3 linked regions of the Ovis aries genome follow. Each later gene encodes a partner of the first gene's protein in a complex. Links are inferred from orthologs where the notes say so. Each region holds a gene or a part of one and is shown on either strand. Other genes may lie near its edges.

Evidence for each region. Proteins that work in one complex are often made in the same cells at the same time.
Region 2: EIF3I (region 1) and EIF3G share a complex: the UniProt entries of both Homo sapiens proteins name them as parts of the eukaryotic translation initiation factor 3 (eIF-3) complex. The link is inferred for Ovis aries from reciprocal best matches to the Homo sapiens genes EIF3I and EIF3G.
Region 3: EIF3I (region 1) and EIF3F share a complex: the UniProt entries of both Homo sapiens proteins name them as parts of the eukaryotic translation initiation factor 3 (eIF-3) complex. The link is inferred for Ovis aries from reciprocal best matches to the Homo sapiens genes EIF3I and EIF3F.

What each region holds. Positions count from the first base shown.
Region 1 is NC_056055.1:235,308,604-235,312,769, reverse strand, and holds the start of EIF3I (eukaryotic translation initiation factor 3 subunit I), read left to right. Parts: upstream 1-1,366; 5' UTR 1,367-1,403; coding exon 1,404-1,406; intron 1,407-1,499; coding exon 1,500-1,592; intron 1,593-2,826; coding exon 2,827-2,914; intron 2,915-3,216; coding exon 3,217-3,282; intron 3,283-4,166. Other genes in the region: TMEM234 (transmembrane protein 234), read right to left, coding at 1-25, 835-986, 1,268-1,283. UniProt on the Homo sapiens protein: Component of the eukaryotic translation initiation factor 3 (eIF-3) complex, which is required for several steps in the initiation of protein synthesis.
Region 2 is NC_056058.1:12,527,644-12,531,612, reverse strand, and holds the start of EIF3G (eukaryotic translation initiation factor 3 subunit G), read left to right. Parts: upstream 1-1,169; 5' UTR 1,170-1,219; coding exon 1,220-1,239; intron 1,240-1,387; coding exon 1,388-1,434; intron 1,435-2,029; coding exon 2,030-2,113; intron 2,114-2,221; coding exon 2,222-2,310; intron 2,311-2,454; coding exon 2,455-2,514; intron 2,515-3,682; coding exon 3,683-3,787; intron 3,788-3,891; coding exon 3,892-3,969. UniProt on the Homo sapiens protein: RNA-binding component of the eukaryotic translation initiation factor 3 (eIF-3) complex, which is required for several steps in the initiation of protein synthesis.
Region 3 is NC_056068.1:44,245,836-44,249,838, reverse strand, and holds the start of EIF3F (eukaryotic translation initiation factor 3 subunit F), read left to right. Parts: upstream 1-1,203; 5' UTR 1,204-1,220; coding exon 1,221-1,620; intron 1,621-4,003. UniProt on the Homo sapiens protein: Component of the eukaryotic translation initiation factor 3 (eIF-3) complex, which is required for several steps in the initiation of protein synthesis.

The DNA of each region.
Region 1 (4,166 bases):
GGTTGAGAGAAAAGGGCATCAGGTACTGGAAACAGAAGAAAACTGGTCAGTGTGATTGCTTATCTGAGCAGGGCTGCCTTCTTTGAGCTTTGAGATAAGCCTTTCCTTGGAGGGAGGGGTAGCTGTAAGGGCTAGGGCCCAAGCCATCTGAAAAGGACCCTTCCAGGGCAGAGGGAACATCACTGACTGAACCCCATGCCTTTGCCCTGAATGCCCTCCCCCTCAGCCCGGCTGGTTTCTGTCCTCCCCATCCTGCAAGTCCCTGAGCGCCAGTGTTCCTCTCTCCAAGAAACCTTCCCTCAGTCGCCTAGCTCCAGCCTCCCTCCTCTGAACTCACAAAGCACTTTGTCTGTACCTCACTCAAAGCCCTTACCCCTGAGAGGCAGTTGTGTCTATGACTTTCCCACCAGCCGAGACTGGCAGCACTGAGCTCAGAAGTAGTACTCTAGATTCTCCCTTATGCCCCCCTCCCCAGGGCCAATTTAAGCCCTAAGCCCTCCCTCTGGAAAAGTCTGTTGGAAGGATCACCATAATAAAATATTACTAGCTGCTCAGGGCATCAGAGACTTGAAACCTAATTATAATATGTATAAGGCCCACTGCTAACTGCTTTAGTGCCTCACCTCACTTAACCCTCACAACTGCCCCGTAAGACGGTTACCCTTATTATCCCCATTTTACAGATGACGAAACTGAGACTCAAGGCAAACAAGACTCATCCAAGAGCTTCTGGCGAGTAAGTGGTGGAGCACAGATTTTGAGCCTGATCTGTTTGACTCCAGAGACCAAATTCTTAGCTGCTACCCTCTAGAGAGGACTCATTCACAGACGCACCTCGGGATTCAAGAACAAGGTTTTCATTTCCTGCAGCAACTGCCGGGCCCAGGTCCGCTCATGAACCTGCTGCAGGCGAGAGGAGGCCCGCTTCAGCAATGGCTGTGTGCCACCCCACAGAGCGGCCACTAGCACCAGAGCCAGCACCTGCCCTGGATGGAGAGACGAGTGACATCCCCCGCCGCCCCACCGCACGGCCTTAGCCCTCCTCCGGTCTCCCATTCCCACCCCGCCGCTCCCACATCCCTTCTTTGCTCTCCGACGCCCCGGGTCTGATTGGCGGGTAGGACAGGCCCCGGGAAGCCGGGGAGATGGATCCTGGAGCCCAAGTTCGGGGTTGTAGCAAGGGTCGGGGTTAGGTGGTGGAGGAGGGAGTAAGAAATGAACTTGGGATAGCAGTCTGGAAGCGAGGGGAGGGGCGGGGCCCGCTTACCCAGGGTCGCCGCCATGGCAACGCCGATCCTCTCCACTTCCGGGAACAAAGGGGGCGGAGACTCGTAATCCGGAAGTGGCGCCAAAGCCTCTTCCGGTTCTACTCACGTTGCCGCTTTCCTCGCGTCACCGCCGGAATGGTGAGTTCTCCTGTGTTAAAGGTATTGCCGTAGGGGTCCGTGCTGGGGTAGGGGCCAATTCTGGGCGCTGACACTGCCGTCCTGTCCCCACAGAAGCCGATCCTGCTGCAGGGCCATGAGCGGTCCATTACTCAGATTAAGTACAACCGCGAGGGAGACCTCCTTTTCACGGTGGCGAAGGACCCTGTGAGCGTCGGCCGAAGGGCGGGCCCGCCGGGACCTTGCGGAGGGGGCTCGGGAGCGGGCGCGTTCATTCTCCCGGGGCGAAGGGTGGACAAGCTAGTTTTGCTGCGAGAAAAACCGAGGAGTGCCCCGTTCTGAGAAGTAGGGAGAGATCAGCCCGGGGTTTGGAGGGCAAGAGCATTACACCGATAGATGTGGGAAAGGACTCCATTGTTGATAGGAGGGAGTAGCCAGGGAGAAGAAAAGCAAGGGTACCTTGTGGAAAGGGGACGGGGACGTGGGTCATCTTGCTCATGGGGCGGAGAGGAGCTCATTCCGGGGAAGAACAAAACTATTCTACAAGGATAGGGGAACAGACCACCTGGAGAAGGGGGAAGTTGATCCTGGGGCGGCGAGGATAAAGACCTTAAAGAAGGTGTCCTTGGTATCATTTCAGTCATCCCTCTTCCTGCCACTCACTCACTGCAAACAGCCCCTTTGAGTACTGCATTTTGAGGCACCTCCATATGGAGAAAGTTAACCCTAGTGGCTAAACGTGGGGGCTGACACACCTGATTTGAATCCTGAGTCCTGTATTCACTAGCAGTGTGACTTTGAACATGCCATTTAACCATTATAAACTTTAAGAGCCCCTTTTTACAAAATATGGGTAGTAATAGTACCTCCCTCTTGGGGTTGTCTTTAGAATTAAATGAGATTATTCAAATAAAGAGCTTACTTGAATAAAGAGTGTTTGTGAGTACCATATTAATGTTAGACACATTTTAAATTCCTTAGACATTATTTTATTGGAGTCTCACAGCTACTCTTTGAAAAAGGCGTTATTGTCCTGGCCAGTTTACACGTGGGAAAACTGAAGTTCAGAGGGGAAAAGCACACATTTCAATAATACAGTGAGATAGTAGCAGAGCAGGGACTGGAACCTAGGTTTCTCTCCTACCAACGGCTCCTGTTTGGACAGAACACCAAAACACTACTCTTTTGCTAGGCTGATACTCAGCTTGACCTTTTATTCCTCAAAGGGTTTAGGAGTCTGGGGAAAGGCTGGTATGATGGAGACTTTTTCGCAAGCAGGAGGAGAATCCAGGAGTTGGTCTTTTTACCAGCAACCTGCTGTTCCCCAAGAGATGAGCTGGGGAGGGTCGAATCTGGCCTGGCTAGAAGCTTCTGGGGCAAAATAGGCCATGGCTCTGCCCACAATGCCTATCATCCTGTCACATTGTCCTTGATCCTCCAGATTGTCAATGTATGGTACTCTGTGAATGGTGAGAGACTGGGCACCTACATGGGCCATACCGGAGCTGTGTGGTGTGTGGACGCTGACTGTATCCTTATCTTTGTTCTGAGTCTGTGCTACCAGGGTCTGCCAGCAATGGAGAAGCTGCTGACCTGAAGCTGAGAGTTTGAGATGCTCTGGTGGGGTCTGGAGAATGATGCTACCTACCTCCTACTCCTTGGTCTGTTCACTATTTCGGGGAACATTTAGGACAGGTTCCAGTTCTGAATGAGGAGGTTAGGATGAGAGAAGGAAGGCTCTCTGGTGCTGAATAGGGAGATGATTCACTTGGCCTTCCAAGAGGACAAGGACTCAGGTGAATTCTGTTATGCTTCTTAACACCCTCTTCAGGGGACACCAAGCATGTCCTCACTGGCTCAGCTGACAACAGCTGTCGTCTCTGGGACTGTGAAACAGGTAAGCCTGGATCCTGCACTTTTTCAGCAAACAGTGAGGACCTACAATATACTTATTGAGGTCAACAGGTTCTGGGGAAATAGAGATAAAACCAGAGATGGTTCCCAGTCTAGGGAAAAAGAGACAAGAAAATCAGGAGACAGAGATGAAAAGAGGCACTCCAGTGAGATATAAGCCTTGTTAGAGGTAGCACAGTGCACTATGAAAGCTGAGGGGGAGGCACCTGAAGCCTGAAATGGGGATGGGATCAGCCCGGGAAGGCTTCCCAAAGCAAGTGTCATGTGAGGCGATAGCTGTGGCAGATGCAAGAGTGGAAGCACAGCAAGTGGCACGTCCAAGTCATCTGATCTGGCAGGAGCTCCTGCTTCTCGGGGGTGAAACAGACAGCAGTGGAGAAGCTGAGGCAGGCTAGGGCCAGACGGGCCTTGAATGTGAGCTCAGGAACATGACTGTTCTGTAGGACTTCATGCTGGGGAGGGTCCTGAGCAGGGAAGAGCCTGTTCAATTCTTTTTTTTTTTTTTAATTTTTGGCCACACCCTGTGGCAACTGGGATCTTAGTTCCCTGACCAGGGATTGAACCCACACCCCCTGCATTGGAAGGCAGAGTCTTAACCACTGCTGGGGAAGTCCCCAAGCATGTTTAGCTTTGGCAAGCCCAGGTAGCAGTGGGGAACATTGCAGGAACAGACAGAAGACAGGGGAGCCTATTGAACGGCTCCATTTAGGAAATATTTTCTGGGTACCCAGATCTCTCCCAGGTCTTTGCTGGGCACTGGTGACATGCAGAGAAGTTAGAGCAGGTCTTTGCTATGGAGAAGCACATTCTCCAGAGGTGGAGACAGATACAATGTCGTCCGTTGTGAGTGCCACAGTGGCGGGATGT
Region 2 (3,969 bases), on another chromosome or scaffold:
ATAAATATTTTTAAAAATGTTATATATGTTATATATATATACATGTATATATATGTAATATATATATAAGAGACTATGATCTTTAGTCTAGTTTTTAAAGTCCTTTATAATCTGGTTCCTGTCGGTTCCAAATACCCATGAATTGAGCACTTATCAAGTGTAGACACCCTGAGGGTGCTGGGGACCCAGAAGTGAACAAAGCAGGCAAATGTGTTTCTGCAGAAGTCTGCAGCAGTTTTTACCATTTTTTTCATTATCATCCCTCTAAAGGAGAAAAATGGAATTATCTTCCATTTAAATCAGTGTTAATCTAATTACATTTAATTTCTCCCTAACAATAGAAATTAAATGTTTAGAAATAAGATTTTGTCTGGGAGGGTTGGCTTTGGAGGCCACAAGTCATTGTCATCTCCAAGTTGGTTTTTTTTTTGTTTGTTTCTTTTTTGCCACAGAACAATTAATTTTGGTCCCCTTGGGAGTCATATCACTCCCACTGAGAATGCATACAGTAGAGGGAACGCTGGACAATAAGCAATAAATTAAAGAAAATGGAAAAGATTATATCAGGGAGCCAAGAATGTTACTAGGAATTCCCCGGTGGTCCAGTGGTTAAGACTCTGCACTTCCACTGCAGCGCCCAGTTCTGATACCTGGTTAGGGAATTAAGATTCTGCAAGCCTCACAGTGCGGGGGGGGGAGTTACTCAAGGAGGGAGAATAGTTAGGGGGTGACTTGATATCTTGATCATTTGAATCAGAAAAGTTATTTCCAGGCAAGGAAGACCAGTTTTGGTTTCTTCAGCTGAAAAATGGAAACGATAATTTCCTCCTCACAGTTCCTGCAAACAGTCAGAGCTATATAATTGAGCTTTATTGTCATTATTTTTAATTTTTAAAAAAAGTAAAAGAAAAGGTCCGGTGGTTAAGATTCAGTGATCCCAATGCAGGCCCTCCTGGTCCAGGAACTAGATCCTACATGCCGCAACTAAGACCCAGCGCAGCCAAATAAATAAATAAATAAATAAGATTTTCAGGTAAATGAGCCGAGCCTCTAATAGTAAGATACCAGGGCCCAGCCTCTCACATAGGCGGCGCTTCTACCTCCGTCCGTAGGGGGCGCTGTGGAGTGCTACGGCTGCTCTAGGCAGCGGAGCCGGAAGTCTCTTTCACCTCTTACTTCCGGTCTTTGGCCCAGGCTTGGGCTGCGTGGAGATTTTGCGATGCCGACCGGAGACTTTGAGTGAGTCAGGGGTCGTGGAGGGGGTTTGGTAAGCAGACCGGGGATGGGGGGCGGTCCTAGGAGTTAATATAGAGCCTGGGTGCGTTGAGGCCGCGGGAGCTGGGCCTCGCCTCACTCATCCCTCCTTTTGACAAACTTGTCCCCGCAGTTCGAAGCCCAGTTGGGCGGACCAGGTGGAAGAGGAAGGAGAGGACGGTGAGTCTACCTTGTCGCCTCGGATCACCGCAGCCCGGCCTCCCCCCGCCGCCCCAGGCCGTCACTGCTGCCTGCTCTGATCCTCCACCCTGGCACCGCCGTCAGACCCTGCATCTCCCCTCACAGCCAGCCCCTGCCCCGCGCCACTCTCATCTGGGCCAGCCTATCTCCAACTCCATACGTTCACCAGCCAGCCCATCTTCTGCCGTGCCACCGCCCAAGTCCTTGATGCCAGCACTTCTGCTTCCCTGCTCCTGGCAGGAAATTGTTTAACAGCCACACTCCTGCCTTTGTATTAATACTATTGCCCGGATGCCTGTGGCCCTCCCCTTCCCTCAGGCCCTCAGGCCCTCAGGCCCTCAGGCCAAGGATCCCCTTCCCCTTCTCATTGCTGGAAGTTACTACCGGCCAGCTCCGTGTCCCTGAATGGCTATCCCAAGACACTTCCTGGCCAGTCCTCTGCCCTTGGTCCCACCTTTCTCAGCTCCTGGTGCAGGCATCATCCCAAAGGTCCCTTGATTTCAGCTTGGGAGTTCCTGTCGCTGCCCACCCCTACCCCCCAGCTGACCCCTGCTCCCTCCACTCCCTGTCACAGACAAATGTGTCACCAGCGAGCTCCTCAAGGGGATCCCCCTGGCCACTGGGGATACCAGTCCAGAGCCTGAGCTATTGCCGGGAGGTGAGTGCCCGACTTCACTCCAGCCCTGGGCCGTCTCTCTCCCCAGCCTCCTTCCTTCTGGTCCCTATTACCCAGGGCTCAGTTCCTTTGTCTCTTCCTCTCTCCCAGCTCCACTGCCACCTCCCAAGGAGGTCATCAATGGAAACATCAAAACAGTGACGGAGTATAAGATAGATGAGGATGGCAAGAAGTTCAAGGTGAGGCTGGGGAAGAGGTGGGAGCCCTTTGCTTGAGGGGCACTTGGACTAGGGAGAGAGTGGTGTGTTGGATGTCTTGATGAGGAAGATCTGCTAGGAACCTTGAGGAGCAGAAGGCCCAAACGTTTCCCCTCCTATCCACAGATCGTCCGCACCTTCAGAATTGAGACCCGGAAGGCCTCAAAGGCTGTGGCAAGGAGGAAGGTAAGACCCTTCTCCCCCTTCCTTGGGGGCTCCTCCAGGGCTGACTCAAAGAAAAAATAGGAGTTCTTTTCCCTATTGCCTTCATTTTTAGAAGTGGGGTTTAACTGTTTGTTAAACAATTTCCTGGTGGCTTCCCTGGTGGCTCAGTGGTAAAGAATCTTCCTGCAATGCAGGAGATGCTGGTTCATCCCTGGGTCAGGACGGTACCCTGGAGAAGGGGATGATTACCCACTCCAGTGTTCTTGCCTGGAGAATTCCATGGACAGAGGAGCCTGGTGGGCTATAGTCCATAGGGTCGCAAAAAGTTAGACATGATTGAGAGACTGATGCTTTTTTGTTTCTTTCTAATTGTTTGGTTGCACCACACAGCATGTGGGATCTTAGTTCCCCGAGCAAGGCTTGAAACCACACCTTGTGCATTGAGAGTGCGGAGTCTTAACCACTGGGCCACCGGGGAAGTCCCCTGGGTGTACCTCTTCTGTTGGAGCAGAACTGAGGCCTGTGTGCAGTCCGTGGGGGCCCTGAAAAGTCCAGCAGGTGCAGGAGTGGGAGCGGAGGGGTTGGTTCTTACTTCTCTCGGCTTGTCGCCTGGGAGGAACAGAGCCAAAGCCCTCCTGTGAGGTGGTCGTAGCAGCAGAAGTGATGGCAGTAAATACGTTTTGCACAGTTACCTACATACTCGGTGTTAGACTCAGGTGCTTCGTGGGAAGTATTTTCTCATTCATTCCCCTAGCATTCCAGGGAGGTGTGGGGAGCATTGTGGTCCCTTATAGGGGAGGATGCCAAGGTACAGGTTGTTTAAGGAGCTCAAGGCCCCTGGAAATCTGGGTGATCCTGCACACCCCTGAGTATCACTCGGTGGAAGCTGGTCAGCCCCTGCCAGGGGTTGTTGGCTCTGGACCTGTTTACCCCTGAGCCTCAGTTTTCTCATCTGTAACATGAGGCTGAGAGCTGCCCCTACTCTTGGAGCTGGCATGGAGCTGGGGCCTGGCATGCCCTCAGGGAATAGCAACTGTCATCATCGCTTCTCCAAGGAGCATTTGAGGGCGGTGAATAGGGTTCAAGACTCACTCACCCTCAAGGTGGCTCTTGTTAAGTCTAGGGTGCAAATGGAGGGGGTCCCACTTGTCCTTGCCCTGACCTGTCCCCCATCCTGCCTTGAGCTCAGAACTGGAAGAAGTTTGGGAACTCAGAATTTGACCCACCGGGGCCCAACGTAGCCACCACCACAGTCAGCGATGATGTATCCATGACATTCATCACCAGCAAAGAGGTAAGTGTGGTGGCTGGCAGGGGGAGCCAGTGGCCAGGGTGTTACTGGAGGCAGCAGGGGAGCAGCTGAACTACCGTCTGAACTGCCACCACCTGCCCTGCCAGGATCTGAACTGCCAGGAAGAGGAGGACCCAATGAACAAGCTCAAGGGCCAGAAGATAGTGTCCTGCCGAATCTGCAAG
Region 3 (4,003 bases), on another chromosome or scaffold:
AGGGAATTCTAATCAAAAAAGGTAGATCCAAGGAGAAAGTAGTTCTTGGGCATGAGTTCCGGGCTAAGAAGTCCAACCTCACCCACTCACCTTGCCGGCTGGAACCTGGCACATCCAACTAAAGGAATTGACAAGTTTCCTCATAGGCAGATGTTATCATACCCCTCACGCAATAAAGGAAACTGAGGCTCAGGAACTTAAAATAAAAACCCTCTAGATTGCCCAAAGTTACGCAAGGAGTGAGGATCAGAGCTCCTTCCACACGTAGTGTTGCAGAAACCAGTAATCGAGAAACCAAACACCATACTCGGAGAGTTGGAGAACTCAGGTTTGTTAAGCCAGCAGGCCCAGAGGAGTTAACACTCCAAGCTCTGAGCCCCGAACAAAGGAGTTACAGAGTTTTTATAGACAGACTATAGTGGACAGCACTAGCTGCCAACAGGCTGATTTAAACTAAGGCGTTTCACAGGCACAGGAACAGGGGTCAAAACGGGGAGATGAATGGCTGACCTTTACTTGGACGCGCGTGATTAAGCAGGATTGCAGGGGCTGGGCAATCACAAAGAGCAGGACAAGGGTGCGTGAGATAAGCTCCAGTTCCTAGTATTCTAAGTCCTCACTTTCTGAGGCTACATGACCTAGAGTTACAGAGGCAGAACCAGCAGGAGTTTATGTAAAATTTTATCTTTCCCTCTTCACTAACACATTTGTTGCTGCTGCTGCTAAGTCGCTTCAGTCGTGTAAAAGTACTTGTCTCTCTCTACTAGAACGTAAAGTTTCAAGGACAATGGTCTTTATTTTGCTCTCTGATAGCTCCTAAAAGTGTCTGGCACATATTCAAATTGTTTAATGAATGACACACTGTATGGACACCTTAGGATGCAGTCAAGAACAAAGCTCTTTCCTTGATGCCAATTATCCCATTGAAGTGCCAGCTGCGACCTTTGCACCGCTCTATGGCTCCATCTGGTGGCAGTGTCTCTCTCCTCCCAGGGCGGTCGCAAGTTTACTCGGAACTACTTAGCTTGATTCTCACTGAGTGCGCATCGGACCAAAATCAAAGAGCACAAACACAGAGCCGGAAATTGTAGCTCTGAGAAGCATCATCAGTAGCCAGTAAGCAGAAGCACCTAGTTCACGTGGTGCAGGTTCAGCCTATGGTGCTCCTAATGTTCTCCAACTCGCTCCCTTCCGCTCCTCGCTCCTTCTCTCTCGACAAGATGGCCACACCGGCAGTACCGGCGAGCGCGCCTCCCGCCACCCCGTCCGAAGCCCCAGCTGCGGCCTCATCTCCGGCCTCGGCCTCGGCCCCGGCCCCAGCCCCAGCCTCAGCCTCGGCCCCGGCTCCATCGCCGGCTCCGGCTCCAGCTCCATCGCCGGCTCCCGCGTCATCCTCAGACCCGGCAGCAGCAGCGGCTACGACCGCGGCTCCGGGCCAGACCCCGGCCTCAGCGCCAGCCCCAGCGCAGACCCCCGCACAGTCTCTCTCTGGCCCTGCTCTCCCAGGCCCCTTCCCCGGCGGCCGCGTGGTCCGGCTGCACCCGGTCATTTTGGCCTCCATCGTGGACAGCTACGAGCGACGCAACGAGGGAGCTGCCCGAGTTATCGGGACCCTGCTGGGTGAGTGGTCAGGGGAAACTGACGTTCTCCTCTACTGCCCACCTTGTTTTATCTTGTCCCCCTTTCTTCTCACTCCCTTGTAGTTATTTGTTGAAAAAGTATCGTGTGCCAAGTGACTCACATTTTATTTTTAATCTTTGCAGTAGCATTTCACTTCAACGGTTATTAGTCCCAATCGACGGAAAATGTGTTCACAACCTTACTGGGACGTCAAAAACCTTTTGACTCCTTAAACCCAGTGACCAAGTTTTCCCCCCTTACCTACTACTGGTCTTTATTTTCCGAGTGTTAACCGAGAAGTTTTTTCTAACTAGTTGGCAATGGAGTGGGGACATCTGTAGAAAGATATCCCTCGCAGCAAGTAAACCAGTTTGGCAGGAACCCATTTGAATTTCAATATTCTGCTTTCTTAAACGTCTAAGCCTGATCCGCCTTTCCTCGCTCTCTGTAATACTAGTCACCAGTGAAATATAGACCCCCGTTCCCCCACTGTAGACTGTGATTCTTCGTTTGGACACAATTAATACAATACAAATCTATTCTTTGTATTAACGATTACATGGAGAAATAACTTTTTTCCCTGACATGTTCCAAATTTGAGAAATGGGTACTTTATGTTAGAGTAAAACCGAGAAGCCCTAAAAAGGGATTTCTGACGATGTATTCTTTTATCTGGGGACGTCGGGTCCCATCAGATTAATTTTTCACTCCATCTTGATCACAGATACGGGGCACTTTTGTGATTCCAGTTTAGTCCCATTTATGATTTCTCTTTCTTAACCCTTGAACTTGTAATAGTTTCCATTGTAGAAGACAGTTGGTGTATTGAGAAGAGGACGGTAGTTGTAGCCAGACTTCTGCAAAAGTTAGGGAAGTCTCTTTCCTTCAGGGACTTGCTGAAGACATCTAACTGTGCTGACACAGACTAGGTATGAAGCAGCTGTCGGTTGCTGTCGTCCACCGCATCATGCACACTCCTGACACACACATTCTCTCTCTTATCTTTGAGAGAGTAGCATTTCACGGAAACTTCAGTTGATCCGTTATCTTACGAACATTGCCATAGCTATCTCAAACCAAGCCTTTGTATTCTCTTTGCTTGTTCTCCCTTATTTTTTCCTTTAAGCTCCACTCATTTTCCAGGTTCCCAGGAAAAGTTTTCACTCTGTCCTTCATCCCATACCCCCACCCTCACCTCTACTCATAATCTCCCAAAGTGTGAAAGTGTTAGTCACTCAGTCCTGTCGGACTCTTTGCGACCCCATGGACTCTATGGTAAGAAACAATTCTCAATTCTCCACCCTAGGTTTGTATTCAGTTCAGTTCAGTCGTGTCCGACTCTTTGCGACCCCATGAATCGCAGCACGCCAGGCCTCCCTGTCCATCACCAAATCCCGGAGTTTACTCAGTCTCATGCCCATCAAGTCGGTGATGCCATCCAGCCATCTCTTCCTCGTTCGTCCCCTTCTCCTCCTGCCCCCAATCCCTCCCAGCATCAGGGTCTTTTCCAGTGAGTCAACTCTTCGCATGAGGTGGCCAAAGTACTGGAGTTCAGCTTTAGCATCAGTCCTTCCAGTGAACACCCAGGACTGATCTCCTTCAGAATGGACTGGTTGGATCTCCTTGCAGTCCAAGGGACTCTCAAGAGTCTTCTCCAACACCACAATTCAAAAGCATCAATTCTTTGGCGCTCAGCCTTCTTCACAGTCCAACTCTCACATCCATACATAACCACTGGAAAAACCATAGCCTTGACTAGATGGAACTTAGTCGGCAAAGTAATGTCTCTCCTTTTGAACATACTATCTAGGTTGGTCATAACTTTTCTTCCAAGGAGTAAGCATCTTTCAATTTCATGGCTGCAATCACCATCTACAGTGATTTTGGAGCCCCCAAAAATAAAGTCTGACACTGTTTCCACTGTTTTCCCATCTATTTCCCATGAAGTGATGGGACTGGATGCCATGATCTTCGTTTTCTGAATGTTGAGCTTTAAGCCAACTTTTTCACTCTGCTCCTTCACTTTCATCAAGAGGCTTTTTAGTTCCTCTTCACTTTCTGCCATGAGGGTGGTGTCACCTGCATATCTGAGGTTATTGATAGTTCTCCCGGCAGTCGTGATTCCAGCTTGTGCTTCTTCCAGCCCAGCATTTCTCATGATGTACTCTGCATAGAAGTTAAATAAGCAGGGTGACAATATACAGCCTTGACGTACTCCTTTTCCTATTTGGAAAAGGCTGCTGTTCCATGTCCAGTTCGAACTGTTGCTTCCTGACCTGCATGTAGGTTTCTCAAGAGGCAGGTCAGGTGGTCTGGTATTCCCATCTCTTTCAGAATTTTCCACAATTTATTGTGATCCAGACACTCAAAGGTTTTGGCATAG